Saccharomyces cerevisiae S288C: one gene and its partners. The gene in region 1 interacts genetically with each later gene. Each region holds a gene or a part of one and is shown in the gene's direction. Other genes may lie near its edges.

Region 1 (6,905 bases):
TTTATGATAGTAAAGGGATACACGTAGTCAAGGGTAAAGCTCAAATATTTGCCGACAGGTATGTCAACATTACTAGCTCCACTTTCATCTGTAACAGTAACACCTTTATATTTCAAATATTCATCCTTCATATCAAAATCCTCGGATATTACTTTAATCTTCAACTTGACCAAATCTGTACTTTTTTTCTTACCAGCTTCATCAAGTTTAGAGGTGAATTTTTTCTTGAATATCAACTCGTCATCTTTGTCTACTATTTGATAAACAGTAAACAGATCTTCCTTGTCCTCCGGTAAAAGAGTAATCACTGCTCCTCCTTTGTTAAAAGAATCCTTTTTCAGACTAATAACCTTCATATTTTTGCTATGATAGGAATGCGATAATTGAACAAAATGACAACGATGCAGCAACGAATGCTTAATTTTTTGGGATCTTCATTAAATTACATTTTACATTAATATACAAAACTAGGTGAATATTGAATAATGTATGTACACTTTCATCACGCAGTACGGATTTTTGGTAAAAAGAAAATTTTTTTCAGCTCTGCTTAAAAAAAGCTGGGAAGCGATGAGATGAGAAAAGTCTAAGTTGTTTGGTACTTTCGTTATTAAGTTCCTAGAAAGAAGAGGCTGCCACAGGGAAAAAGAATAAGATATACAAGTCACAATGTCTTCAACTCAAGACAGTAAAGCGCAAACTCTTAATTCTAATCCAGAAATTCTTTTGAGGAAAAGAAGAAATGCTGATAGAACTAGAATCGAAAGACAAGAATTAGCTAAGAAAAAGAGGGAAGAACAAATCAAAAAAAAGAGAAGTAATAAGAACAAATTTGTCAGAGCTGAAAGTATAGTTGCAAAGACTTTGGCTACCTCTAGGGAAAAGGAAAGAATTAAAAGAGTGTCTATATTAGAAGATAAGAAGGCAAAGAATGAAACGCAGCATATTGCATCTGGGAAAGATTTTATTCTGAAAATAACAGAAAAAGCTAATGGCGCCGAAGAGAACTCTGTCGACTTGGAGGAGACTGAAGAAGAAGAAGACGATGGTTTAATCAGAGAAAAGACTACTTACGATGGCAAACCTGCTTTACTTTTCATTGTCAGAGTAAGAGGTCCGCTTGCTGTAAATATTCCAAACAAAGCATTTAAGATTTTGTCTTTGCTAAGATTAGTTGAAACTAATACTGGTGTTTTCGTCAAATTGACCAAAAACGTATATCCGTTGCTCAAGGTTATTGCGCCATACGTAGTGATTGGCAAGCCTTCTTTATCTTCTATCCGTTCCTTGATTCAAAAGAGAGGTAGAATAATCTATAAGGGTGAGAATGAGGCTGAACCTCACGAAATAGTTCTTAATGACAACAATATTGTCGAGGAGCAATTAGGAGATCATGGAATAATTTGTGTTGAAGATATTATTCATGAGATTGCCACTATGGGTGAGTCTTTTTCTGTTTGTAACTTCTTCTTACAACCATTCAAGTTGAATAGAGAAGTATCTGGATTTGGTTCTTTGAATAGGCTAAGGAAAATAAAACAGCGGGAGGCTGAATCAAGAACTCGTCAATTTTCAAATGCAGCTACAGCACCAGTTATCGAAGTTGACATTGACTCTTTATTAGCCAAGTTGAATTAATTAAGAGAGTATTTTAAAATTGTATAGTACATAGGTTGTTAGTTATCTAATGCCATTGAAGGAGCAGATATTGAGCTTTTGCATATAATTAGTGGTGCCTCATGGATTGAAGAATATACGTATTTTGGCAAGTTTATTGGTTTTTAGTTTATGTATCGGCAAAAGCACGGGCGCCTCTTTTTTTCCTCGCTTACTGAGCGCTGTTTTGTATATAAATACATTTGCAGTGGGGTGCACCCTCGAGAATATATGAGATCATTAAAGCTCCACTTGTTGTAAATTGTTTGGCGATTTTATATGTTTAGACACACCGATGAACTAAAATTCGCTTTGAAAAGTTTGCTATGAATACTTTTTTTCTTTCCTTGCTAAGTGGCGCCGCTGCTGGTACCTCTACGGATTTGGTTTTTTTCCCTATAGACACAATTAAAACCAGGCTTCAAGCTAAGGGTGGATTCTTTGCTAATGGAGGATACAAAGGCATATATCGTGGTTTGGGAAGCGCTGTTGTAGCATCGGCGCCAGGTGCTTCACTTTTCTTTATTAGTTATGATTATATGAAAGTAAAATCAAGGCCATATATCAGCAAACTTTACTCACAGGGATCTGAGCAATTGATTGATACGACAACGCACATGCTTTCCTCTTCCATTGGTGAAATTTGTGCTTGTCTTGTTCGAGTTCCCGCAGAAGTCGTTAAGCAAAGGACGCAAGTTCACTCTACCAATTCTTCCTGGCAGACTTTACAGTCAATTCTACGAAATGACAATAAGGAAGGTTTAAGGAAAAATCTTTATAGAGGGTGGTCTACCACCATTATGAGAGAAATACCGTTTACTTGTATACAGTTTCCTTTATACGAGTATCTAAAAAAGACTTGGGCAAAAGCCAATGGCCAAAGTCAAGTGGAGCCATGGAAAGGGGCTATCTGCGGTTCTATTGCGGGTGGGATCGCAGCAGCTACAACGACACCATTAGATTTCTTGAAAACCAGATTAATGCTCAACAAAACAACCGCCTCACTTGGAAGCGTTATTATTAGGATTTACAGAGAGGAAGGTCCTGCTGTATTTTTCAGTGGAGTGGGGCCCCGGACAATGTGGATCAGTGCAGGTGGTGCTATCTTCCTAGGCATGTATGAAACTGTTCATTCGTTATTATCGAAAAGTTTCCCAACGGCTGGAGAAATGAGAGCGTAATGAAAACATAGAGCAAAAGCAACTACCAGTTGTAAGAGGTAGATCGTTTACGTACTTTACGTAAGCCTTCTGAGGCCTCTTGTCTGTTGTTTATTTTTTGTTATTCATATAAAAAAGTCGTCTATTTACGATATCTGTTCAAAGTACTTTTTTGGATATTTGTTAAACCCATTTTCACTGTATTGGAAAAATCAGACTCTTTTCACAGTCTTCTTCAAAGTCTTCGAAATTTTTTCAGATTATACGTATACACAATGACATTATAAAGTTAAAAAGCCTGGAAATAAGTCAAGAATGAATAAATACTTGTCGCAGATCCAATAGGTGAGAAAGTATATAGATCGAGAGTAGTTCTAGAGGCGTTTAGCGTACGATATATCCAAATCACAACCCCCATAGTTATAATTATTCAATCTTTCAATACAAACATCTGCATCATCGACGTTATCGTATTCAACGACAGCTATTCCAGTTGGTGCCCCTTTGGAATCATACCTTAATTCAGCATTGTTAACCTTTCCGATTGTCTCGAAAAGGTCGTAAAGATCACTTTTTGCAGTTGAAAATGGCAAATTACTGCAATATATGAGTCTATTTCTTTCACCTCCACCGACAACGTTTTCGGTAAATTTTCGAGCTTCTTCGTTAACGGGAGAATCATCCATTGGGATATCAACATCGTCTCCATCACTGTGGTTATGTACGCTTTCCTTAGACTTGACATCCAAGACGTTACCCTCTATACTATAACCGTTGTATTTCTCAATCGCTCTATGCAGATCTTTAATATCATAAAAGGACACCGTACCAGATCCAGTGGATACTCCATCGCCATCCAATTCCACATCAGCGTGTGCGACATTCCCACATTCCTTGAATATGTCTTTCAAAGCCTGCCAATTAACGGAAGCAGGTAAATTTTTTACAATAACTTCATGTGTTTTTCGGTTATGTCTAAGCTCTCCTCTATCGAGTGCTTTCCTTTCCTTGATATTGTTTGACGGTGGTGGATTATCTTGCCTGACGAAGATTTTACGATCCATGAAGAAGGCCCCATCGTACTGGCGGATGGCCCTGTCAACATCATCCGAATTAGTGAACTCTACTGTACCCATACCTCTGTGGTGCCCTCTTGATGTAATTATATCCGCGCGGACTACTTTTCCTATCTGTGAAAAAAACTCAGTGAGATCTTCGGGGGTGCTGTCATATGTTAAATTACCCACGAATATACTATTGGAATAGTTTCTATTGACCTTTTCTTCGTATGTACTATCCAATTCACGTGCCAACAAAGGACCGTAATCACCTCTTGCTCCACTACTACCAAAACCGCCTCTCCTACTGTCATCACGTGTATTGTGTCTACTCCTAAAGCTTCTAGGATAGTCATCACGTCTGTTCCCATAACGACCAGTCACATCTCTTCCTCTGCGCCTATCATCGTAACGGTCTCTAGATCTAGGATTATCTCTGTTATTGAACCTTTCTCTTTCTCTGTAATCAGACCTTTCTCTACCTCCTCTATATTCTCCTCTATCTCTGCTTCCTCTGTACGTATCTGCGAACTTACGCCTACCGTTATAATTACCTGACCTCCGGGACAAATGGTTGTCTCTTTCATAACCATGATCATCACTCATCCGACGACGAACAGGTGATCTCGACCTCGATCTACTTCGATTATTCTACAACAATGAATAACATTAGTAAAAGTAACTAAATTTCATAATGAGAGAGACCAATAAGTCATTGCGTTTCAAAGTTGGAATAAACTGTACATTATAGCATGGCAGGTAGAAAATCAGGGTTTTATTTATAATTGATATTCTCACTTTCATAGCCAGTAGATAAACATTAGCAATGCATTCAAAAAACCCCCTTTAACCAGTGGAATCACATTGAAGCAAGCGTTTTGAAGGCAGCATTAAATGGTGACTCACCATTCGTTGATGTCTATTTAATTCCAATGACCTCATAAAGTCTCATTTTACAAACTTTTCTTCACCTCCCTTATCAATGAAACATACGTTTTCTGAACCTCGTTCTTGATCAGACATATCCTGTTAACTTAATATTTGGCGTTCTATCTGCTCATTCAAACTGTTTTCGAACTCATGAGCAAACATAATTATGAAATTTTTCAGCCAGTACTCTACTTTTTCATTTCCCTCGCTAAACAAAGAGAGTCATTTGAAACGACCCAAGGAAAGACGTAAATTGAGGTATATGTAGTGACCAGAAGAGGATAAGGATGGCTAGAGTTTGGTGTTCAAGTTCAATTGTTTGGTTGAATAGGTACTAAAAAGATTTTCACACAACGGCTTCTCTGTAATGTTATACACACTGTTTTTATACCAATTATGCAAATTTGGCTGTTATGACTGGGTGTTTCGATATCTGACGTTCCGCTATTGAATTTTAAAGCTCTTTCTTTGGAGACTCATTCAAGATAGTTCACTGAAGAATGAAGTTGGCTCATTGTAAAAATAAAACTCGCCAGTTTGGGTGGTCATAATATTTCAAGCTTAACCTAAGGTGAGAATATGTGGAATCCTATTTTACTAGATACTTCTAGTTTTTCATTCCAAAAACATGTGTCTGGTGTGTTCCTTCAAGTGCGTAATGCCACCAAAAGGGCTGCGGGCTCGAGAACAAGTATGAAGGATTCTGCAGGAAGAAGGTTAGGACCAAAAAAATATGAAGGCCAGGATGTTTCCACAGGTGAAATTATTATGAGGCAAAGAGGAACAAAGTTTTATCCTGGAGAAAACGTTGGTATAGGGAAAGATCATTCCATATTCGCCTTAGAACCTGGTGTTGTTCGTTACTATCTTGATCCTTTTCATCCTAAAAGAAAATTCATTGGTGTTGCCTTGAGGCGTGATTTGAAACTGCCATCTCCTCATTTTGAGCCTACCGTAAGGAGGTTTGGCCGTTTTGAGTTAACAAATAAAAGGGCAGCATATAAGGAAGAAAATTCTATTTCTAGAAAAGACTATCTCGCAAAACCTAATATTTTGAAGCAGTTAGAGGTCAGGGAATCTAAAAGAAAGGAGTTACAAGACAAGTTGAGTAAGGTTCTTCGGGATGAACTTAAGTTAGATATAAAAGACATCGAATTGGCAACGTCATACTTAATTCGTGTAAGGGCTTCCCTGAAGAATGGATACCCCATAGAAGATGCAAGGTTCAATAGTAGATATTATTTAAAAGAAGAAGAGCGTTTGAAGGCAAGGAGAGAAAGCTGGACGAATGAGAAATTGTCGGAGAGTCTATCCAAGATTGATGAGTGTAGTGATCTTTTGAACTCATCTACATCTTTCAATAACAAGCTAGAGCTACACCAGTATATTTCGGAACAAGAAAAACAAGCTTTGAAGGCAAAACTATTAGAGGACCTAGAAAAATCCCAACACTTAGAAACCAAAAAAGACAAGAATTATATTAAGGCGCTTTTCAAGGACGCTTGTAATTTTTTGACTTTATCTGAAGAAGTACATTTGCGTAGGAAATACTTAAAGTCGGTCTTCCCCGAAACAGATAGTACGGTTGAAACCAAAAGCGGGAAGAAGTCAATTGTGTCTAGACGTTTTGATTACACCAAAAATAAAGTTGAAGTCATTGCTAGAAGTAGGCGGGCTTTTTTGAGCAAGCTTTGATTTTCTTTCCTTACGCACAGTATGTACACATATAAAATGTTTAAGAATGCCTGTAAATATTACTATTTTGTCGCGCAAGTAGCTAAACCTTTCGTCTACACGAAACTTAAAATTTAGTGCTACATGCAAGGGAATATGTTTATACTGTACATTCTCGTCTTCCTTTCATTGATGATATGCATCGCGATTGCTTTCATTTTGTGAACAATCAATTAACTAAAATGCACAGGATAGTAAAATCTATATTTACAAAAAGGCGGATAAGCAAACACTGAAAATCATAATGTTTTTTGTCACTTCGGTCCTTCAAGCTTGGTAGTTGATAAATTGTAAACTATACATCGTTTAATGCGACACATACAGCTCCCTTGTGGTGTCCACCGTACTGTCTGACAATTTCTCTAGT
Region 2 (10,979 bases), on another chromosome or scaffold:
TGTGATGTTCAAATTGTTGAGTTTTTCTAGTTGATCCTGGACTTTTTTCAGTTCATTAGAAAGGTTTTCATTTTTTTCAGTTAAACTTTGTTCTTTGCCAGAAATTTGTGAAATTTCGATATTCTTCGCCTCCAACTTTTTGACCAAATCTTCATATTGTGCTTCTTTAGTACCAAGAGAGCTAATAATCTGATTTTTTTGTGAAGACAAAGTTGACCTTTCACTCTCCAAATGTTTTATCCTTTCTTCATACTCATTCGACTGAACTATTTCTGCCTTATATGCCTTCACCAAGTTTTCCAAACTCGCGTAATTTTTGGCTGTTTGAGACGCATCATCAAGAAGCTCTTGCCTTGTGTTATTCATTTCACTTACCAAAGCAGTTTGAATATTCCCTGATGACGTTAATAGTTCTTCTTGTACTCCCATTATAAGTCCTTTTTGCGTTACACTCAGCTCATTTATTGTTTTTGCCATTTCATCCTTACTGGATGACATTTTTTGTTCAAGATTTTCTTTGATATCTTCATATTGCTGCTTTAGCATGGTCTCTGTATTACTACTCAACTCTACAGTGGTGTTCCTCAAGCCTACGTTAAGGGTATCTTTTGCCACATCGAAGTGCTTTTGTAATTTTTTTTCAAACAAATCATGAACTCTTTCTTCGAATTTGTTAAATTGCAGTAAATGGTGTGCTTTATCTTCTGAAAAGAAATTCTCAATTGATTTAATCATTTCTTCTCTATTTTTTCCCATTTCCTGTATTAAGGAACTGTTTTTGATTTTTTCTTCGCTCAACTGACCTGAACAATCATCTAGTTCTCTTTTCAGGTATTCAATCTCTTTACCTTTTTTCATTAATTCTGCATCCGCCTCCTTTTTGTTCTTCCCTAAATCATTTATTGTTTTGTTCAAGTTTTCAATACTTGTCTTAAATCCGCTTATCCTTCTCTGATATAGTTGGTGGTTTTGTCTTAAATCTTTCAATTTAGTTTCTTGATTATTCTTATGGCTCGTCAACGTTGCAATCCTTTCTTGAAGAGTTTCTAAACAAGATTTATATTTTCCGACTTTTTCATTGATCTTATCAGAATTGGAAGCATACGACTGTAGTCGAACTTTCAACTTTGCATTATCCTGTTGCTGCTTTTGTAGCTCTTGCTTTAAATTTGAACATATTCTTTGAGTGTTTGTGAAGGCTTCTAACAGGACATCATTTGAAGATGTACTAGAATTATTGATGGACGTGTGCAAAGGAGCCTTTCCATTTGTCATAGTATATTCATGCATTTTACTATCCTTGAGAGTTGTCTCAGAATCGTTAGGATCCCCATGACTTTCTTTCGTTTCTTTTGCTACTCCTTCACTCACTTCTCTTACTTCTGTAATTTCAAAATCTTCATCAGTATCATTTTCAATTGCGGCAACATCATTTTTTAAAATTCTGTTGTATTGGTCTGTTGATGTTGTTTTTTTTGGTGAACCTATTTCCATATCATCAGAATAACCATGGTTTCTCTGACTAAGGCTCATACTTGTAATCAGTTCTTGTTCGGTAGAAGTTTTGTGGGGTTTTTTGAAGGTATCATCTCCCTCTATAGAAGAACCCACGTCTAAACAGTTGGATGAATTCTCGACAACAGTATTAGCGGAAGAATCTGAATCTACATCTCTGACTCTCAGCTTAGCGAAGATGTTTGGTCGAGGCTTGAATCCCATTGAACTATCTCTAAAAAAGTTTGACATTCTCTAAAAATTTAGCCGCCGAGGGTATTTTACTTCCGAATCTCAAAGAAAAAAATATGCTTACTGTTAATCCTAAAAGAGGTGACAATATTCAGCTAAAACTTTCAGAGACTTGCAGTTCTCTTCAAGGCGGTCAACTTTAACAAAGAGGTAGCAGATTGTTTTCTTTATTTGTTCGCTATTTACAAGTGAAGAAGCAGCTCTTCATAAAGGGACAACACGGCTTATAGCATTTTTTACGAAAAGTTTGACCGTTTAGAACAAATATTTAAAAACTAGTACTCGATTTCTGGCGCAGCAAAAATATAGCATTATGTCCGATAAACACAGTTGTGATCTGTCTTGTGATCGCATACTCTGCAGATAATCAGTTGAAATAGCAGCTTTTAAGTGAGAATCTTATTCTTAGTCTACATCGTTACATTGTATCAGTCACAGGTACGGAGAGAAATTATACTTTTCGATTTCATTCAATGTAGTTTCTTTTTTACATTAAATATAGTTTTCCAGTAGTGCACTATTATTAAGGCGCTTCTGTTTTTAGTCAACACTTTTTCAGATAGTACCTTTCAGGTGGTTAGAGTGCGATCCCTTTAAAAAAAAGTATTCGTCAACGATGACAGGGTAAAGAATAAATGCAGCACGCCTGGCGTATACTGCTATAATTGTACATCATGTTATCGGCGTTGATTCTCAATTGTTTGGTGATTAGCTTTTATATATAGATAGAAACCCAACGTTGGATAACCTCACGACTAACTTTTTTGTATTTTAGAAATAATTTGTCGATCGGTTGTATATTTTTGTCATATATTATCTAGAAACGTTAGGGAATAAACTGTTATCTAGGGTCCACTAACATACGCGCAGTTCGGAAATCAGCAAACATCACTTAAAGGACACCTGCTATAAACTGAATTGTGTCCAATTTTTCGAGTAGTTAGCAGTTCAATAAAGGGCACGTTATCAATTGTTAAAGGCAAAGAATCAGAATTAAATCATAGCAAACGACCAAAATGAACAGAGTTTCGTTTATTAAAACGCCTTTCAACATAGGGGCGAAATGGAGATTAGAAGATGTCTTTTTGCTCATTATCATGATACTTCTTAACTACCCAGTGTATTACCAACAACCGTTCGAACGTCAGTTTTACATTAACGATCTCACTATATCGCATCCTTATGCGACAACTGAACGTGTAAATAACAACATGTTGTTTGTTTATAGTTTTGTCGTGCCATCTTTAACCATATTGATAATTGGTTCCATTTTGGCCGATAGAAGACATTTGATTTTTATTTTGTACACATCTCTCCTTGGTTTATCACTCGCTTGGTTCAGTACGAGTTTCTTTACAAACTTCATCAAGAATTGGATTGGAAGACTAAGACCAGATTTTCTAGATCGTTGCCAACCTGTTGAAGGCTTGCCATTGGACACTTTATTTACTGCAAAAGATGTGTGTACGACTAAGAATCACGAACGTCTGTTGGATGGGTTTAGGACAACTCCGTCAGGTCATTCAAGTGAAAGCTTTGCAGGACTGGGTTATTTGTACTTCTGGCTATGTGGGCAACTTTTGACTGAATCACCGTTGATGCCTTTATGGAGAAAAATGGTGGCCTTTCTACCACTGTTAGGAGCTGCACTAATTGCTCTATCCAGAACTCAAGATTACAGACATCATTTCGTCGATGTAATTTTAGGGTCTATGTTGGGTTATATAATGGCACACTTTTTCTACAGAAGAATCTTCCCACCCATTGATGATCCTCTTCCGTTCAAACCATTGATGGACGATTCAGATGTCACCCTGGAGGAAGCAGTCACCCATCAGAGGATCCCGGATGAGGAATTACATCCTTTGTCCGATGAAGGTATGTAAGAATAAAAAAGAATATATACTCCACATGACATACGAAATATACGTATTTATTGTTCTGTATGGAATAACAGCGATTACATAAAGATGACATGTTACTTCTTTATTCAAATTAATCTTGACGTGCAAGGGCCTGCTTGTTATTTCATCGGACAATCCCAACATCACTTTACACGAAAGCCTTAGAAGTTTATTATTTGTTTTAAGTTGGACTATAGTGATGTAGGTAGTTTCTTAGGAAGCAGTTGAGTAGCTGATTTTTGAGATAAGAACCTGGTGTAATCAATCTATAAACAGCCTAGAATCTTTTTAAGCAAATTTACTTTTACATTTATCTCTATCTTCTTTCTTACAAGAAGTTATTTTCATTACAAAAGGACATTAAATACACTAAATTTTCAATCTTTACATTGTTGGAAAGCCTCGTTGTCTTTTAAGATTTTATAAGCATTGATTTTTTTTTTCAATAATTTTCCGTTCCCCTTAACACATACTATGTATAAATGTCATTGAGTCATCTCACTTTAGATCAATATTATGAAATACAGTGCAACGAACTTGAAGCGATACGTTCCATTTATATGGATGACTTTACTGACTTAACTAAAAGAAAGTCTAGCTGGGATAAGCAGCCACAGATTATATTCGAAATTACGCTTCGATCTGTTGACAAAGAGCCGGTTGAATCTTCTATAACATTACATTTTGCGATGACCCCAATGTATCCTTATACCGCTCCAGAAATAGAATTCAAAAATGTACAAAATGTAATGGATAGTCAATTGCAAATGCTGAAAAGTGAATTTAAGAAAATCCACAACACCTCCCGAGGCCAAGAGATTATATTTGAAATTACATCTTTTACTCAAGAAAAACTGGACGAATTTCAAAATGTGGTAAATACACAGTCCTTGGAAGATGATCGATTACAAAGAATCAAAGAAACTAAAGAACAATTAGAAAAGGAAGAAAGAGAAAAACAACAGGAAACAATAAAAAAAAGATCAGATGAGCAGCGAAGGATAGATGAAATTGTTCAAAGAGAGTTGGAGAAAAGACAAGATGATGATGATGATTTGCTATTCAACAGAACAACCCAGTTAGATTTACAACCACCTTCAGAATGGGTTGCATCAGGTGAAGCTATTGTCTTTTCAAAAACTATAAAGGCAAAATTGCCTAATAACTCAATGTTCAAGTTTAAAGCAGTTGTAAATCCTAAGCCAATAAAACTGACATCAGATATATTTAGTTTTTCCAAACAATTTCTTGTGAAGCCTTATATACCACCAGAATCTCCGTTGGCAGATTTTTTAATGTCTTCTGAAATGATGGAAAATTTCTACTATTTGCTATCTGAAATTGAATTGGATAATAGCTATTTCAACACAAGTAATGGAAAAAAAGAAATAGCAAATTTAGAGAAAGAGTTAGAGACGGTGTTGAAAGCTAAGCATGACAATGTGAATCGATTGTTCGGTTATACGGTGGAGCGCATGGGGAGAAATAATGCAACGTTTGTTTGGAAAATAAGACTCTTGACAGAGTACTGTAACTACTATCCATTGGGAGATTTGATACAATCTGTTGGATTTGTTAACTTAGCAACAGCGCGTATTTGGATGATTAGATTGCTTGAAGGATTGGAGGCCATACACAAATTGGGAATTGTTCATAAATGTATCAACTTAGAAACCGTGATCCTGGTGAAGGATGCAGATTTTGGAAGCACTATTCCCAAGTTAGTTCACTCCACTTATGGCTACACTGTTTTGAATATGCTATCGAGATATCCAAATAAAAATGGTTCTTCGGTTGAGTTATCTCCAAGTACATGGATAGCCCCTGAGTTGTTGAAATTCAATAACGCCAAACCTCAAAGATTAACTGATATTTGGCAACTTGGTGTTTTGTTTATCCAGATAATCAGTGGATCTGATATAGTGATGAATTTTGAAACGCCTCAAGAATTCCTAGATTCAACAAGTATGGATGAAACTTTATATGATCTTCTTTCGAAAATGCTTAATAACGATCCGAAGAAAAGATTAGGAACATTAGAACTACTGCCCATGAAATTCTTAAGGACCAATATTGACTCTACAATCAATCGATTTAACTTAGTTTCCGAAAGTGTCAATTCTAATTCCTTGGAGTTAACTCCTGGAGATACCATAACCGTTCGGGGCAATGGAGGTAGAACACTTTCACAATCGAGTATACGAAGAAGATCATTTAATGTTGGTTCCAGATTCTCTTCTATAAATCCTGCAACGCGATCACGATATGCTTCTGACTTTGAAGAGATTGCAGTTTTAGGCCAGGGCGCATTTGGACAAGTTGTCAAGGCACGTAATGCTCTCGATAGCAGATACTATGCGATCAAGAAGATTAGACATACAGAAGAAAAGTTATCTACTATATTGAGTGAAGTAATGCTGTTAGCAAGCTTAAATCATCAATATGTTGTGCGTTACTATGCTGCATGGTTAGAAGAAGACAGTATGGATGAAAACGTTTTTGAATCAACTGATGAAGAAAGTGACTTGAGCGAATCTTCCTCTGATTTTGAGGAAAATGATTTATTAGATCAAAGCAGTATTTTTAAAAATAGAACAAATCACGATTTGGATAATAGTAACTGGGATTTCATATCGGGGTCAGGATATCCGGATATTGTCTTTGAAAATAGTTCTCGTGATGATGAAAATGAAGATCTAGACCATGATACTTCCTCGACTTCCTCGAGCGAAAGTCAAGATGATACTGATAAAGAATCAAAGAGTATCCAGAACGTTCCAAGAAGGAGGAATTTTGTAAAACCGATGACTGCTGTTAAGAAGAAAAGTACGCTTTTTATTCAAATGGAGTACTGTGAAAATAGAACGCTATATGATTTGATCCATTCTGAAAATTTAAATCAACAACGTGATGAATATTGGAGGTTATTTCGACAAATTTTGGAAGCACTGAGTTATATACATTCCCAGGGTATCATTCATAGGGATCTGAAGCCAATGAATATTTTTATAGATGAATCGAGAAATGTTAAAATCGGTGATTTTGGGTTAGCTAAGAACGTCCATAGATCTCTGGATATACTTAAGCTAGATTCACAGAATTTGCCAGGCAGCTCAGATAATTTAACATCCGCCATTGGTACAGCAATGTATGTTGCTACTGAAGTTTTAGATGGTACAGGTCACTATAATGAAAAGATTGATATGTATTCACTTGGAATCATTTTTTTTGAAATGATCTATCCTTTCAGTACAGGTATGGAGAGAGTTAATATTTTGAAAAAGTTACGATCAGTGTCGATAGAATTTCCTCCTGATTTCGACGATAATAAGATGAAAGTTGAAAAGAAAATTATAAGGTTACTCATAGACCATGATCCCAATAAAAGGCCTGGTGCTAGGACATTATTAAATAGTGGTTGGCTTCCTGTGAAGCATCAGGATGAAGTAATCAAAGAGGCTTTAAAAAGTTTGTCGAATCCTTCATCCCCTTGGCAACAGCAAGTTCGAGAAAGTTTATTTAACCAATCTTACAGTCTAACAAATGATATTCTATTTGATAACTCAGTTCCAACATCCACTCCTTTCGCAAACATTCTCAGGTCCCAAATGACAGAAGAGGTAGTTAAAATTTTCAGGAAACATGGAGGAATTGAAAATAATGCTCCTCCGAGGATTTTTCCAAAGGCCCCCATATACGGTACGCAGAATGTATATGAAGTGCTTGACAAGGGCGGTACCGTCTTGCAGTTACAATATGATTTAACTTATCCTATGGCTAGGTATCTATCTAAAAATCCAAGTCTGATTTCTAAGCAATATAGGATGCAGCACGTTTACCGACCTCCTGATCATTCAAGGTCAAGTTTGGAACCTAGAAAGTTTGGTGAGATTGACTTCGACATAATTTCAAAATCTTCCTCAGAGTCAGGATTTTATGATGCAGAAAGCTTGAAAATTATCGATGAAATATTAACCGTATTTCCTGTATTTGAGAAAACAAACACTTTTTTCATATTAAATCATGCTGATATTTTGGAGAGTGTTTTCAACTTTACAAATATTGATAAAGCCCAAAGGCCTCTAGTTTCACGAATGTTGTCGCAAGTAGGCTTTGCAAGGTCCTTCAAGGAAGTAAAGAATGAACTAAAGGCGCAACTGAACATATCTTCTACGGCATTGAATGATTTGGAGTTATTTGATTTTAGACTGGACTTCGAAGCAGCCAAAAAACGCCTGTATAAATTGATGATTGATAGTCCGCATCTAAAAAAAATTGAGGACTCTTTGTCCCATATATCAAAGGTTCTCAGTTACCTAAAACCCTTAGAAGTTGCAAGAAATGTTGTGATATCTCCTTTGAGTAACTACAATAGCGCTTTTTACAAAGGAGGTATCATGTTTCATGCAGTTTATGACGATGGATCCTCACGTAATATGATAGCTGCTGGAGGGAGGTATGACACTTTGATATCCTTTTTTGCCAGACCATCAGGAAAAAAGAGCAGCAATACTCGTAAGGCTGTAGGTTTCAACTTAGCGTGGGAAACAATATTCGGTATAGCCCAAAACTATTTCAAACTCGCTTCTGGAAATAGGATAAAGAAGAGAAATAGGTTTTTGAAAGATACAGCTGTTGATTGGAAGCCAAGCAGGTGTGATGTATTGATATCGAGTTTTTCGAACTCTTTGTTGGACACAATCGGGGTTACAATACTGAATACATTGTGGAAGCAAAACATTAAAGCGGATATGTTAAGGGATTGTTCCTCGGTGGATGATGTCGTTACTGGCGCTCAACAGGATGGTATAGACTGGATTTTGCTGATTAAGCAACAAGCGTATCCACTAACCAATCACAAGAGAAAGTACAAGCCATTAAAAATAAAAAAATTGAGCACTAATGTTGACATAGATTTAGATCTTGATGAGTTTTTAACCTTGTACCAACAAGAAACTGGTAATAAATCTTTGATCAACGATAGTCTCACTTTGGGCGATAAGGCTGATGAATTTAAAAGATGGGATGAAAACAGCAGTGCCGGTAGTAGTCAAGAAGGTGACATAGATGATGTTGTTGCTGGTTCGACTAATAATCAAAAGGTAATTTATGTTCCAAACATGGCTACAAGATCTAAGAAAGCTAATAAAAGGGAAAAGTGGGTTTATGAGGATGCAGCCAGAAATTCTTCGAATATGATATTACACAATTTATCCAATGCACCAATTATCACTGTTGATGCCTTAAGAGATGAAACTTTAGAAATAATCTCAATTACTTCTTTGGCTCAGAAGGAAGAATGGCTGAGAAAAGTTTTTGGGTCAGGTAATAACTCGACTCCTAGAAGCTTTGCCACGAGCATTTATAATAACCTCTCCAAAGAGGCTCATAAAGGGAATAGGTGGGCAATATTATACTGCCACAAAACCGGAAAATCATCTGTTATCGATTTACAGAGGTAGGCCTTTAAAGATCTGTGCGGCGCTATAACGCATCAGTTAAAGGTAAAGTATATACAATGTCTTAGATACTATATTTAGGCTAGCTGATTCATCTAATTCACCGTTGTAAAGGGGGTAGGTCACCTTTCTTATACATATTCCTGATACTAAAGACAAATGTAGGTTTAATGAGATGGTCTACTTCTTCTCTCCTTTCTCTACTTTCCATTTTGTATTTAATTTTTCGGTGAATATAAATGTGTGCGTATGTTGTGTGAGGCTCCTCTAGCTCCTACGGGAGACATTTAATAAATGATCATAATATGGCGTGAAGAATGCTTTCATTCAGAAGTTTGACTAGCACATTCGGTTTCGTATCACGATTCCAAATTAGACGGTTAGGAACTAGTTTATCAATACAGAATTTAGAAGTGCAAGATGGCCGTTGGAAAGGTAAACTAGCTACAGAGAAGAAGACCAATAGGGAACACAAGTCAGTGGATACGAATATCAAGACAATGAAGATGCTTAAAAACCCGAAGAATTCTACTCGCTATTTGAGACGAAGTTTTGTGCCAAACCACAGAAAGCAGGAGAATGGACGTGATATTCTGGAGGATTCTTTAAGTAAAGATCACTTAAAAGTGAAGAGTTGTATCACCATTACCACCGGAGAGGGTTATGATCTCAAAAGATGCATGAAATTGCTTACTATGCAAGGATTACAACCGACAAATTTGATACCTGATGAAATCGTGTCATTTAGTTATCAGGATAATGGCAATAAAGGTGACGTAATGATTTTAGGTCAAAATGGATCTATTGTAAGCTGGGGCTTCAGTGAATCTAGTGTTCGAAACTGCATAGTGCCTATAGTTAAAGCAGCGAGTTTAAATCCACTGAACGGAGAAGACTTTGAGACTGAGGACATGGATTATGTGGAAATAGAAGGGGAACAAGATTTTGATAAGCTTTCCAGTTTGGATAATAAGGTAACACCGAGAATTGCATGCGAAAGCTTTCTTTCTGGAGATTTGATAATAATTAACTCCTTGGATTCTGATCAAGGAATGCTAGATAAGGCGGCATTCTCAAGTGGGCTATCGAGAAGCACCAACTTGGCAGTCCTAGAAGAAGCAATGGAAAAACATATATCAAAGACCAGAACAATAACAGAAAATATTTCTAAGGGAACAAAGTTAAATCTAAGGTCAAGTGATGCATTAAAGTCAATAGGCCGCCTTTTTCTAATTAGAGGAAAGTTGAACCTCTATTCAGAACTAATTGAGACCCCTGATCTTTATTGGAGTGAACCTCAATTGGAAGAGATTTTTAAAAATGTTTCGAGGTATTTGGACATAGGCCCAAGAATAAATATTCTGAACAGCAAGCTGGACTATTCTACGGACGAGTGTCGAGCCCTCATCTCTCTTTTAAACGAGAGAAACAGCACTTTTTTGGAATGGATAATTATATACCTGATTGCTTTCGAACTGTGCTTTGAAATTTATCATTTCTACCAGAAATATTCTTCCTACTGCTCAGAACCCACGAATGATGATCTAGATGCTACAAAGTAAGAGATTTTTTTGTAAATAAGAGTTACTTTTGTATGTTGTATTACGGGCTCGAGTAATACCGGAGTGTCTTGACAATCCTGATATAAACAGTCTTAGGGAAGTAACCAGTTGTCAAAACGGTTTATCAGATTAATTCACGGAATGTTACTTATCTTATGTATTATATAAAATATGAATCATACTAAGTGGTGGAAGCGCGGAATCTCGGATCTAAACTGATTGTTCAAGCATTTATACGTTTGGGTAGTTCAGCTAGGGAAGGCCGTGTTTTATCTCATGTTGTTCGTTTTGTTATAAGGTTGTTTCAT
Region 3 (8,643 bases), on another chromosome or scaffold:
TTCAGCTTCCTCTAACCTCGATGACAGCTTCTCATAAGTTATGTCATCATCTTAACAACGTATATGATAATATATTGATAGTATAACTATTAGTTGATAGAAAATAGTGGATTTTTATTCCAACATTCCGACACAACAAAGTCTTTCTTCAACAAGGTCCTTATTTCAGATGACAGATTTTACTGTACATAAAATACAAAGGATAAGTGAAATGAAAAAATTGTTGTATTACGGGCTCGAGTAATACCGGGGTGTCTTGACAATCTTATTATTATTAACAGTCTTAGGGAAGTAACGAGCTGTCAAAACGGATTATCAGCTTAATTCACGGGATGTTACTTATCTTATATATTGTATAGAATATGAATCATACTAAATGGTGAAAGCGCGGAATCTTGGATCTAAACTAATTGTTCAGGCATTTATACGTTTGGTTAGTTCAGCTAGGGGAGGCCGGGTTTTATCTCATGTTGTTCGTTTTGTTATAAGGTTGTTTCATATGTGTTTTACGGACGTTTAGGATGACGTATTGTCATATTGACGTATCGCATTTTGAGATACAACAATATCACATCTAATATTCCGTGATAGTTTAATGGTCAGAATGGGCGCTTGTCGCGTGCCAGATCGGGGTTCAATTCCCCGTCGCGGAGATTTTTTTAGCATTTATTCAATGAATAATGTGCTACTTGTTCAAAATTGTGATGGCTGCATAATATTACTATTTTGTTTTATATATCCCAATGATATCAGTAAAACTCCCCTTGTTTTTTTATTATGCTTTCCATGTATTAAAAATGACTATATATTTGATATTTATATGCTATAAAGAAATTGTACTCCAGATTTCTTAATATGTTGGTTTACAGACATTTATTAAGACTGTAGAATACTTCGTGACAGTTTCTGTTATGACTGTCTTATGAGTAGGCCGATATTTAGTTTCATGTACAAACGTTTGGTTAAACGTAGAATGCTCTGCTACACTTGGATCGCTGGTAGTTTGAGATTTCGAATGTTCGAACTCTTTGTCTATTGAATTCGAAGTGGGAAGCGAGACACTGCCCGAATTTGCCATAGTCGAGGATAATTCTAATTTAGTTTCATTTGAGGTTTGTGTGACAGCGCCTGTACTTTGATGCATAGCACTATTTTGAGTAGGCTTACTTAAGACAGTAGTTGATCTAGTGCCTGGCATCTTCGTAGAGCAGTTGCGACTTTGTACGTTGGTTTCTGCAATAAGCGAAGAGGCTGTCGATGATTGAAGAAAAGGCCTACTCTTGCAGCCTGTAGATGAATAAATGTCAGAGGTGACTGTAAATGGTTCATTGGTGGACCAGGGTTCAGCTGTAGCAATTTTGGCACCTGAAATAGACCCATCTGTTTGAATATTTACTAGCTTTTTCGAAACTTCGCTTGCGTTCCAATTTGCCTGTGCTAAAGATATCTTATAATTATCGAGATCGAATACGACGTATGCAGAGGACAGGAACACATCACCCAGAACCATCGAATCGTTTGTTGGCTGGACCGCAAACCCACAATAGCTGCCTTCTGTCTCGGGACTTAAAATCAAACTAGACAGTGGAACACTTATTTGCAAATCGCCGAAATCAAAATTGTATTCCACGTCACCTACAGATACTGGACAGTCTAATATATATATACCTTCCTCTTCACTATAGGACGCATTTACAAAAGAAGCCATTTTATCTGCTATGACCTTGGGCGCATTCAATAGCGAGGTTCCTGAGTCCAACAAAACTGGATACTTGGTCGTCGTAAACGTTTCATGTTCACAACTACTTTTGTTTTGGGCACCTAATCCTTGTATAGTCATTGCTAAAGTTGCAGGAGCGTCGACTATTGTGGGATATTCATTTACCATAGGGAAAGTGAACAAATCACCAGAAAACTTTGATTCATCAATGGCACCAAAAACAATCGAACCAGTACCTGAATCAGGTGAGTTTAAGAACAGCGAATACGCGACCACATCGATTATTTTTTCACTTTTTAAAATCTGAGGAAAATTAGGATAATATTCATTAGGAGCACCTTCATAGCCCTTAACGGACTCTCTTCTAGGAAACCCAATTCCAAGAACACCACTAACGGGTGTCGTAGCATACTTGGCAACTCCGAACTGGATATTGGGGATGTCAATTCCATTAATTGATACAGTTTCCGTCCCCCAACTACCGTCAGCAAATGTTCCGTCAGCATATGTGATGTAAAACCTACCATTTTCCAGATATTGGTAGGTGGAAGATCTATGCTCATTATAAGTACTCATAGACCTGCAATCAATTGAAGGCTTAACTTCTTCGCCATTATAAGTTGCGTTTGAATAGGATGACGTATTTGAATTTGGTAAGCAGAAGGGATTGCTAGAATCCATAACCCAAAAATCGGCAGATCCGGTATCAAACAACACTGTCAGACTTTGGGACGGTGTACCTATATCTAAGGTTGTTGCGTAATACATCTCCTCTTCGTGTTGTAAAAGGAATTCTAAGTGACCAGTGCCATCGTTTGTTAAAGCAGTAATGGTGTTAATAATCGCGAAACTCGCCAAAATAAGTTTCAAACAAAGATGATTAATTGCAGACATTATATGACCCTTCTAGACACTCTTTTTATTTTGGTATGATTTTAGGCGATACGAACCACTAGAATTAAATCACGCGAAGATCATTAAAGAATTCATCATGACAAGGCTCGACGTGCTTTCTCTTCACTTTTATACTGTTATCAAAAAACACACACATTCAATAACTATAATGTGGTGTGTTTCAGAATAGCTGGCTGTGTATACATGTTATTGTCGCTATTATGTGACACTCGCCATGTAATTTCCTTTTACGGTAATTACATGCCATGTTTCAGCATGATGTCGGAGGTAGAAAAACAGGGACAACGCATCTCTAATATAATAAATGCAACAAATGTGTACCGTACCGGAATGAGTGCAGCCTATGAATTCGGCAAGAGCCGTTATCTATAAACTAAAAATACAAACTTATTTAAGAGAGTCCAAACTTTTTAACATAGCCTGAATTTCCTTTATGACGCCTTTCCTTTTTTCCTTCAACGGCCTTCTTAAGGACTCATCCACGTTAATCAAATCGATACTGTCTAACTCAATCAGCAACTTCAAAAGCATTTCGTTGCAATAGTTACGCTCGTAGATGTCCTTTTCATCTTCCACATCAAATCTGTTTATTAGATCCTTGCTACGACCTTCCAACTCGTTGCCGTATCTCAACGACACATTGTCAATTTGTTCTTCTAGAGTCAGAGGAACCGGCGCTTTTTCAAACTGATTCTTACCTTTCTTGTTCTTTTTAGAAGCCCTCTTTTTACTGCTTTTTCCCTTGCTGCCATTGGGTCTTCTGATTGTAACCAAAAATACAACAGCAATCACGGCCAAGAGGACGTACGTCGAGGTACTTGTTTTGCTCAGCTTGCTCTTCCAATGTTCCATTGCGTTGTGCGACATTACGGAAACGTACAATTGCCCTTCTGGTGCTATTTTTTCACCAACAAACAGGATTGAAACCAGCACTACAGAGCTGATTCCATCTTTTTTTCTACTGGTTATGTCAGTTCGCGATATTTTTTTTCAATATCGACCAAATGATAGTAAAGGCAAATTGAATTAGATGAGCACAAGTCTTCCATTTAAAAACCCCTCTAGCTATGGCTCTCCTTCAAGTCCATATGCGCTCTTGAAAAAGCATGCTTGCCGATTGAATTGCAGGTAGCATAAATGGTTTTGCTTGTGTATGAAGCTTTTGACCTTATATTCGTCATCCGTTATAAGTGATTAGACTGAAGGGGCGCGAACTAAACTAATTAGATTATAATACGTTTTATAGGGATATCACTACAAACTGCGGCCTAAGAGGATGATCTTCATGGCGGAAACTTGCAGTTTTCCTGTATCATTGCCCTCGTGTTAGATTGGTGATATATTACAGTTACACTATGACGGTGGCTTATTCCCTAGAGAATCTCAAAAAGATTAGTAATTCCCTGGTGGGAGACCAGTTGGCTAAGGTAGATTACTTTTTGGCTCCAAAGTGCCAGATTTTTCAATGTTTGTTGTCCATTGAGCAAAGTGACGGTGTAGAGTTAAAAAATGCGAAATTAGATCTGCTATATACCCTTTTACATCTAGAACCGCAACAAAGGGATATAGTAGGCACATATTACTTTGATATTGTGTCCGCAATCTATAAGTCCATGAGTTTGGCAAGCAGTTTTACTAAAAATAATTCTTCGACAAACTATAAGTACATAAAGCTTCTAAATTTGTGTGCAGGAGTTTATCCAAATTGCGGATTCCCAGACTTGCAATACCTCCAGAACGGGTTCATCCAGTTAGTCAACCATAAATTTTTGAGGAGCAAATGTAAAATTGATGAGGTGGTCACGATTATTGAATTATTGAAGTTGTTTTTACTTGTGGACGAGAAAAATTGCAGCGACTTCAACAAGAGCAAGTTTATGGAGGAAGAGAGAGAAGTGACAGAAACTTCACACTACCAAGATTTTAAAATGGCAGAATCCCTTGAACACATAATAGTTAAAATATCATCGAAGTACTTGGACCAAATAAGCCTCAAGTATATAGTGAGGCTAAAAGTATCCAGGCCAGCGTCACCATCCAGCGTCAAGAACGATCCGTTTGACAATAAAGGGGTCGACTGCACCCGTGCCATACCTAAAAAAATCAATATCTCAAACATGTATGATTCTAGTTTACTCTCATTGGCACTCCTTCTATATCTAAGATATCATTATATGATACCGGGTGATAGGAAACTGCGGAATGATGCGACGTTCAAGATGTTCGTTCTGGGTCTTTTGAAGAGTAATGACGTTAACATTAGGTGCGTGGCCCTGAAGTTTTTGTTACAACCGTACTTTACAGAGGATAAGAAATGGGAAGATACGCGTACACTCGAGAAAATACTACCCTATTTAGTTAAGTCATTTAATTATGACCCGTTGCCTTGGTGGTTTGATCCATTCGATATGCTGGATTCATTGATTGTGTTGTATAATGAAATTACTCCAATGAATAATCCTGTGCTCACCACGCTAGCTCATACAAACGTTATATTTTGCATTCTATCCCGTTTTGCGCAGTGTCTTTCTCTACCACAACACAATGAAGCTACTTTGAAAACAACTACAAAATTCATTAAAATATGTGCGTCATTTGCAGCATCGGACGAAAAATACCGTCTTTTACTGTTGAATGACACATTGTTGTTGAATCATTTAGAATACGGGTTGGAATCCCACATTACTTTGATACAGGATTTTATATCTTTGAAAGATGAGATAAAGGAAACAACTACGGAAAGTCATTCTATGTGTTTACCCCCAATATATGATCACGATTTCGTGGCAGCTTGGTTACTATTGTTGAAATCATTCTCGAGAAGTGTTTCAGCGCTTAGGACGACGTTGAAGAGAAATAAAATTGCACAGCTGCTTTTACAGATACTAAGTAAAACATATACGTTGACCAAGGAATGCTATTTTGCTGGACAAGATTTTATGAAACCGGAAATTATGATTATGGGCATTACTCTGGGTAGTATTTGTAACTTCGTGGTGGAGTTCTCTAATTTACAGTCATTTATGCTGAGAAACGGTATAATCGATATAATTGAAAAGATGTTAACAGATCCATTGTTTAACTCAAAAAAAGCCTGGGACGATAATGAAGATGAAAGAAGGATTGCATTGCAAGGCATACCTGTGCATGAAGTGAAGGCAAACTCTTTATGGGTACTAAGGCATCTAATGTACAATTGCCAGAATGAAGAGAAGTTTCAGCTTTTGGCCAAAATCCCGATGAATTTAATTTTGGATTTTATTAATGATCCATGTTGGGCAGTACAAGCCCAATGTTTTCAGTTGCTCAGAAATTTGACTTGTAATTCAAGGAAAATTGTAAATATTCTTTTGGAAAAATTTAAAGATGTAGAATACAAGATCGATCCTCAAACAGGTAATAAAATTAGCATCGGCTCAACGTATCTTTTCGAATTTCTTGCAAAGAAGATGAGGCTTTTAAATCCATTAGACACTCAACAAAAGAAAGCAATGGAAGGCATCCTATATATTATCGTGAATCTAGCGGCAGTCAATGAGAATAAAAAGCAGCTAGTCATCGAACAAGACGAAATATTGAACATTATGAGTGAAATATTGGTAGAAACAACGACTGATAGTTCAAGTAATGGTAATGACAGCAATCTGAAATTGGCATGCCTCTGGGTACTCAATAACTTACTTTGGAATTCATCAGTTTCACATTATACCCAATATGCAATTGAAAATGGTCTGGAACCAGGGCATTCACCAAGTGATTCAGAAAACCCTCAATCTACGGTGACAATCGGGTATAATGAATCAGTGGCTGGTGGATATTCTAGGGGGAAATACTACGATGAGCCAGATGGCGATGATAGCAGTAGCAATGCGAATGATGATGAAGATGACGATAATGATGAGGGTGATGATGAAGGCGATGAGTTCGTTCGCACCCCGGCTGCAAAAGGTAGTACATCAAATGTACAAGTAACACGTGCCACGGTGGAAAGATGTAGAAAACTCGTGGAGGTAGGATTATACGATCTGGTTAGAAAAAATATTACAGACGAATCATTATCTGTCAGGGAAAAGGCCAGAACGTTACTATATCACATGGACCTGCTTTTGAAAGTTAAATGAATGCACAGAACTCGTAGTATTTCCTACAATTAATTTATGCTATAGTTTTTTAAATAGTATTTTCGCAGAAGAATCCATAACTGCAAGCTTACGTTTAACTAAAATTTCTGTGATAGGAAGTAGCTGGCTGAATTTATTCTCATGTCAAAGAAAAAAAAGTATGCATAGAAATATCACTTTATAAGGAACGTTTCGGATTAAATTATATAATATTTAAGAAAATTGATAAAATAATATGACAGAAGGAAGAAACCAAAATTAAAAAGATTAATCTTGGGTCTTTTGAGAACCACGTAGTAAACCGGTTCTTCTGGCAGCAATCAAACCAGCCTTTTGACCAGAAACGGCACCTCTAGAGATAGTAGAAGCCTTACCAATATGTTGATGGTTACCACCACCGTGAGGGTGATCAACTGGATTCATGGCAACACCACGGGTCTTTGGCCAAGAGTTTCTCTTCAATCTGTACTTGTGGAAAGCACGACCAGCCTTCAACAATGGTTTGTCAACTCTACCACCACCGGCAATGACACCGATGACACCTCTGGCGTCAGAAGAGATAACCTTCTTGGCACCGGATGGTAATCTGACTCTGGTTTTGTTTTCATCTGGGTTGTGACCAATGATGATAACGTAGTTACCAGAAGCTCTGGCTAGGGCACCTCTGTCACCTGGCTTTTCTTCAACGTTGGAGACAATGGTACCTTCTGGGACAGAACCCAATGGCAAGACGTTACCGACGTTCAAAGAAGCCTTTTTACCAGCGTAAATGAATTGACCAGTGTGAACACCTTCGTTAGCAATGAAGATTTCTTCACGTAATCTGTACTTGTATGGGTCACGGAAAACAACCTTGGCCAATGGAGCACCTCTACCGGAGTCGTGGACAATTTGCTTAACGATACCACGGATGTAACCATGACGTTCAGCATAGTCCAAAGTTCTCAACTTGGCAGCACCTTGTCTTAATCTGGTGTGAGAGGTGAAGATAGAACCAGCACCCTTTCTTTGGTTACGAATAACTCTACCTGTTTAAATGAGGAAAAAAATTCTCGATCCTGTTAGTAAATATTTCTCGAAAGTTTTTTCATTATCAAAATATGGCAAAGTAAAAGGCCGCATTCAAAGCGACAGAACCCTGTTGTCATGATACAAAATAGTAGGAAAGGCTTATTCTCATACTTTGATAGCCAACGTCATTCATAAGTGTAATATGTCAATTTCAATAAGTCCCGATATAGCATTTAAAAGACCCTGATAGTAATCGTTTCGAAGACGAACATCAAAAAAGCTTTCTTGTCCGCTGCTATGTTGCCTTGTAATATGCAGAAGGATACTGAAAATAAAATGTACCGATTCAAAACATCTAAGTCATAGAGGAATCCTTCATAACATTTGCCATAATTATGCGATATAATAAAAACATACCCATTGTTCAATAACTTTGTGGTTTCTTGGTGAGTTTATGACAAATAGTAGATTTATCAATAGTAACTCAATCTTTTAAAATATGTATATCTACTTTTGTCAAGTATGAAAGATTATTGAAACCTGTAGCATGCACAGCATAGTTTCCAGAGCAGAATCCACCAGGAGTGTTCCCGCCTGGAGGGAAATCTCCACCCATCCAGCAGAGCGTTCAGGCTGGGAACTGCTTAGTATCCAACATTACTCGTAGGCGGTAGACTGGGACGACCTCTCTGTCCAGCCTCTCCTTTGAGAATTCCTTCTTTTTCTCCCTAGCGGGTTGGCGATTTCGAATAAAATTTTCGTGCAAAAAAATTGATTGCAATTGCTTGGGTTTTTGTATAGTGTACTGTCTGGGTTTGTAAAATAATGTATGGGTTCTAGTCTGAAAACTTGGTAATCGGTATAATGTATATGTAT
Region 4 (4,150 bases), on another chromosome or scaffold:
ACTCGTTGATGTAACAACTTCACCATATAGAAGTAAAGAACCTATGGTGTTTTGAACATTCAGATACTTGAAGTATTCTTTCATGTCAAAATTGGGCGTATATTGAAATGGTGGAATATCTTCATCTACGCCAGGAAATATTACGGTCTTAGGAACCTCATCTGGCTCTTTATGAAGCAAGGACGAACTTGCTGCATCGTAAGAGGCTCTATAGCCTCTATAAAATTGGAAAGAGTCAGTTTCGGCGTTTAATTCTGAGCAGAGTTCAACATTATTTGCATGCATTCCATGATGAGCTAAGTTGTTTTCCATTTCTTGCAAGTAATTCCGCTTATTAGGTGCACTAGCCATAAACAGTGGTGTCAAATTTGGAGCTCTTACATAATTGAAGTCATTATTACAATTCAACCCAGTTTTGGTAAGAACCGTTCTCATAAATTTCAACCTCATGATTTCCTGTGCTTTCAGGTTTTCCACAACGGTTTCAAGAAAATGCTTATCTGTGGATTTCCTCATAAAACGGACGTTGAATTCAGGGTGTGGTCCAGTGAGTAAAACCTTTCCTCTTCCGACCGTACATAGCACTACAGCAGCTGGGTTTTCACTTTGACCTTTTCCTGAGTCAGAAGAAGGCACATCCGGGTGTTCTGCGTACGTGGCCAAGATCTCGACATTATCAAATTTATCTGCATCAACAAAAACGGCTCCTCCATTGAAATAAGTTGAGAACTGTGAGCCATCTGGAAGATTCAATTTAACTGCACGTGCACCGGCCTCGCTGTTATACTGAAATCCATTGTACGCAGGTCCTCTGCTTGTTCCCGGAAAGAATCGCAAATCCCTGCTTCCTGATACTTCCATTGTAGGGTCACCTTGAGCAAATTCTACACGGCTGGTGCCAAAGTAACCTCCTGCACAAAATCCGATAAAGACACCACCTTGTTTGCTAACAAAATGTTTCAATCGAGAAATAATGGGTTGACAAGCTTGAACGTAAGGAAGATCGGCACCACCAGGAAAAACTACAGCGGAGGTCTTTGACATCCATGGTTCTGTCTGTAATACCTTAACATTGACAGTACTGACGGCGTAATAGGGTTCCAAAAAGTCACGTAAACTTTCAACAGCATGCTTAACTGATCCTGGCGTAGTCCCTGGGCCATTATAGACTAATACATTCATATTAGTTGAAATTGGATAATATTGATAAGATCGTTCTAATATCTTCTTTATTGGAACTCTGAACCTGTAACAACCAGTAAAAACCTTGCACTTTTGTATACCAAACAACTTTTGAGAACAATATATTACAGCAAAAGAAAAACTGACGAAGGGAGAAGGAAAGTAAAATATACTTATATGTGCGTTTACCCAACGTTTGGCAAACAATTACAGGAAGAAAAAGCCAAGTCCGTAGCTCTGGGATCTCTTACATGAAACCATATTAAATGTCAACCAACACTTCACAGTCATGTCTTCGAATCATTGTGCGGCGACTATTTCCGAAACTGGAGTGTGAAAAAGCTCGATTCATGAAGCCATCCTCTTAATCGGGAGTATACAATATTTACAATTGAAAAAATATAGAAAGGAGGCAATTGAGAAACAAGCAGGCCTGGTAGCATAGTTTGGTCCCTAATAATTTAGTCAATGATTCAAATGGTGCCCATTTATTCATGCTCCGCATTACTTCGGAGAACTATACCGAAAAGGCCATTCTATCATGTGTTATCAGGGTTAACTGTACGCTTTAAGGTAAACCCGCAATTAAATTACAATCTTTTCAGAGATCTCACTAGGAGGGAATATGCTACCAATCCGAGTAAAACTCCTCATATAAAGAGCAAGTTGCTCAATATTCCCAACATTTTGACTTTATCACGAATAGGATGTACACCCTTTATCGGACTCTTCATTATAACGAATAATTTGACCCCAGCATTAGGTTTGTTTGCATTTTCCAGCATCACTGATTTTATGGATGGGTATATAGCAAGAAAATACGGCCTGAAAACCATTGCAGGAACCATATTAGATCCACTTGCAGATAAACTACTCATGATCACAACAACTTTGGCATTATCTGTACCATCCGGCCCTCAGATTATACCGGTATCTATTGCGGCGATAATTCTGGGTAGAGATGTGCTACTAGCCATAAGTGCTTTGTTTATACGATATAGCACTTTAAAGTTGAAATATCCTGGTCGTGTGGCATGGAATTCCTATTGGGATATTGTTCGCTATCCCAGCGCTGAGGTCAGACCTTCCCAACTATCAAAATGGAACACGTTTTTCCAAATGGTATATCTTGGATCTGGAGTATTATTACTTTTATATGAGAAAGAAGAGGGCTGTGAAAAAACCGAGGAGGATTTCGAAGATAGAAAACAGGACTTTCAAAAGGCCTTTAGCTATTTAGGGTATGTAACCGCCACGACCACAATAATGAGCGGAGTATCCTACGCATTAAAGAGAAACGCTTTTAAACTTTTAAAATAGTATAATTGCGATCCTTTTTGAAAAGGGTCCTGACTTTTCATTTTGAATGTTTTTTAGTTTTTATGTAGTGGAAAATACACTAAATCAACATATATATGTATATATGCATAAACATATGGATACTGGGAAACCCATGTTAACGGCTGAATGCAATATCATCAATACGTAAGATGGATTTAACACATTCAGACGCTAAGGTAATTGCACTTGTACTAACAAGTACGGGTTGTAAGATGTGTTCTTCATAGGTGTTCGTAGTACCAGATCGTCTAACAGAGATACCGTCATTCAATTCACCATTTTCATGCTTAGAGCGCAATTCTGTGACAACTTTGATACTATTCAAACCTGCGTTTTCAGCCAAAGTCGTTGGAATAACTTCCAAAGCAGAGGCAAATTCTTGCCAAATAAAAGCCTGTACACCTTCCATAGACCTTGCTTCCTTACTCAACCTACGGGATATTTCAATTTCTGGAGCACCACCACCAGCGATTAAACCTCTCTCTTTCACTAGACAACGAATAACACATAGTGCATCATGGAGGGAACGCTCTGTTTCATCAATGATCATGTTGTTTGCACCACGAATAACAACAGAGACGGTTGGTCTTGCATTATTGTTTCTTATACCAGTTACTCTAACTATCTTGGAACCATCGCTATCGATCTCCTCAACTAAATCAGCGGAACCCAATCTATCTTCGGTGAACAATTCTATATCAGCAATTGGCTTACAACCCAAGCCCTTCGACAGAAACTCGATTTCTTCTCTCTCGATATCCTTTACCACCATTATGTTCAATTTTGACAAGAAATGAAGAGCCAAATCATTTACCGCATCTCTCAAGATGGATTTCTGAATCAACAGCACGTTACACTTGGCCTTTTTAATTTTTTTACAGATATTTAGCAAATACGCTCTTTCTTCTTTAAGGATCTTATCCATTTGTCTATAGTCATTAACGATGATATTATTTTCTGTGTCGGGCTTTGGAGGAGATATTTGGAATTGAATTAACCCAATCTTTGCTTTTTCCTTTCTTGTCGGACCACCAGCAGATTTGATTGCCGTTTGTGTCAAGACCACACCATCTATCATTTCTGTGTCATCAATGGTACCACCAACTTTTTTGACCAGTCTGATATCGTTCAGGTCAACATTCTTAGAGTTTTCATCAGATATCTTCAATACGGAGTCCACTGCCAAGGGCGCCAAAAACGAAGAGTATTGAGACACAATCTTGGAACTCAAAGAAGTGGATGCAGCACGAACCAGCTGTTCTCTATCGCTCAACGAAACCTTATGGCACATTTCTAAAAGAATATCGACAGATCTCTTCGCAGCACTTTGAAAGGAGTCCGCAATGATGGTTGGATGGATGCCCTTGTTTAACAGCCTCTCAGCAGCACCCAATAGAGCTCCGGTCAAGATCACCACAGAAGTGGTACCATCACCGGCTTCCGAGTCCTGCGCGGCAGAAACCTCTACTAGCATTCTGGCCACCGGATGCAGAATGGCCATCTGTTTTAGAATGGTGTGGCCATCATTAGAGATGATGATTTCTCCACGAGATGTCTTAATCATCTTGTCCATACCCTTGGGACCCAATGAAGTACGGATGGCATCTGCAACAGAACGTGCAGCGAT

Evidence for each region.
Region 2: mutations in PET8 (region 1) and GCN2 together harm fitness more than expected from each alone (negative genetic interaction), as found in Saccharomyces cerevisiae (3 studies listed by BioGRID).
Region 3: mutations in PET8 (region 1) and VID28 together harm fitness more than expected from each alone (negative genetic interaction), as found in Saccharomyces cerevisiae (2 studies listed by BioGRID).
Region 4: mutations in PET8 (region 1) and CRD1 together harm fitness more than expected from each alone (negative genetic interaction), as found in Saccharomyces cerevisiae (4 studies listed by BioGRID).

What each region holds. Positions count from the first base shown.
Region 1 is NC_001146.8:620,907-627,811, reverse strand, and holds PET8 (Pet8p), read left to right. Parts: upstream 1-1,982; coding exon 1,983-2,837; downstream 2,838-6,905. Other genes in the region: ribosome dissociation factor DOM34, read right to left, coding at 1-356; RLP7 (Rlp7p), read left to right, coding at 670-1,638; HRB1 (mRNA-binding protein), read right to left, coding at 3,191-4,525, 4,868-4,897; mitochondrial 54S ribosomal protein bL27m MRP7, read left to right, coding at 5,384-6,499; TOR complex subunit LST8, read right to left, coding at 6,834-6,905.
Region 2 is NC_001136.10:1,023,203-1,034,181, reverse strand, and holds GCN2 (serine/threonine-protein kinase GCN2), read left to right. Parts: upstream 1-4,132; coding exon 4,133-9,112; downstream 9,113-10,979. Other genes in the region: ZIP1 (Zip1p), read right to left, coding at 1-1,746; DPP1 (bifunctional diacylglycerol diphosphate phosphatase/phosphatidate phosphatase), read left to right, coding at 2,763-3,632; MRX10 (Mrx10p), read left to right, coding at 9,427-10,671. UniProt on the Saccharomyces cerevisiae protein: Metabolic-stress sensing protein kinase that phosphorylates the alpha subunit of eukaryotic translation initiation factor 2 (eIF-2-alpha/SUI2) on 'Ser-52' in response to low amino acid, carbon, or purine availability.
Region 3 is NC_001141.2:316,313-324,955, reverse strand, and holds VID28 (glucose-induced degradation complex subunit VID28), read left to right. Parts: upstream 1-3,990; coding exon 3,991-6,756; downstream 6,757-8,643. Other genes in the region: aspartyl protease BAR1, read right to left, coding at 851-2,614; SNL1 (Snl1p), read right to left, coding at 3,023-3,502; 60S ribosomal protein uL2 RPL2B, read right to left, coding at 7,024-7,784, 8,185-8,188. UniProt on the Saccharomyces cerevisiae protein: Component of the GID E3 ligase complex recruiting N termini and catalyzing ubiquitination of proteins targeted for degradation.
Region 4 is NC_001136.10:200,071-204,220, reverse strand, and holds CRD1 (cardiolipin synthase), read left to right. Parts: upstream 1-1,650; coding exon 1,651-2,502; downstream 2,503-4,150. Other genes in the region: biotin--[acetyl-CoA-carboxylase] ligase BPL1, read right to left, coding at 1-1,182; chaperonin-containing T-complex subunit CCT4, read right to left, coding at 2,639-4,150. UniProt on the Saccharomyces cerevisiae protein: Catalyzes the synthesis of cardiolipin (CL) (diphosphatidylglycerol) by specifically transferring a phosphatidyl group from CDP-diacylglycerol to phosphatidylglycerol (PG).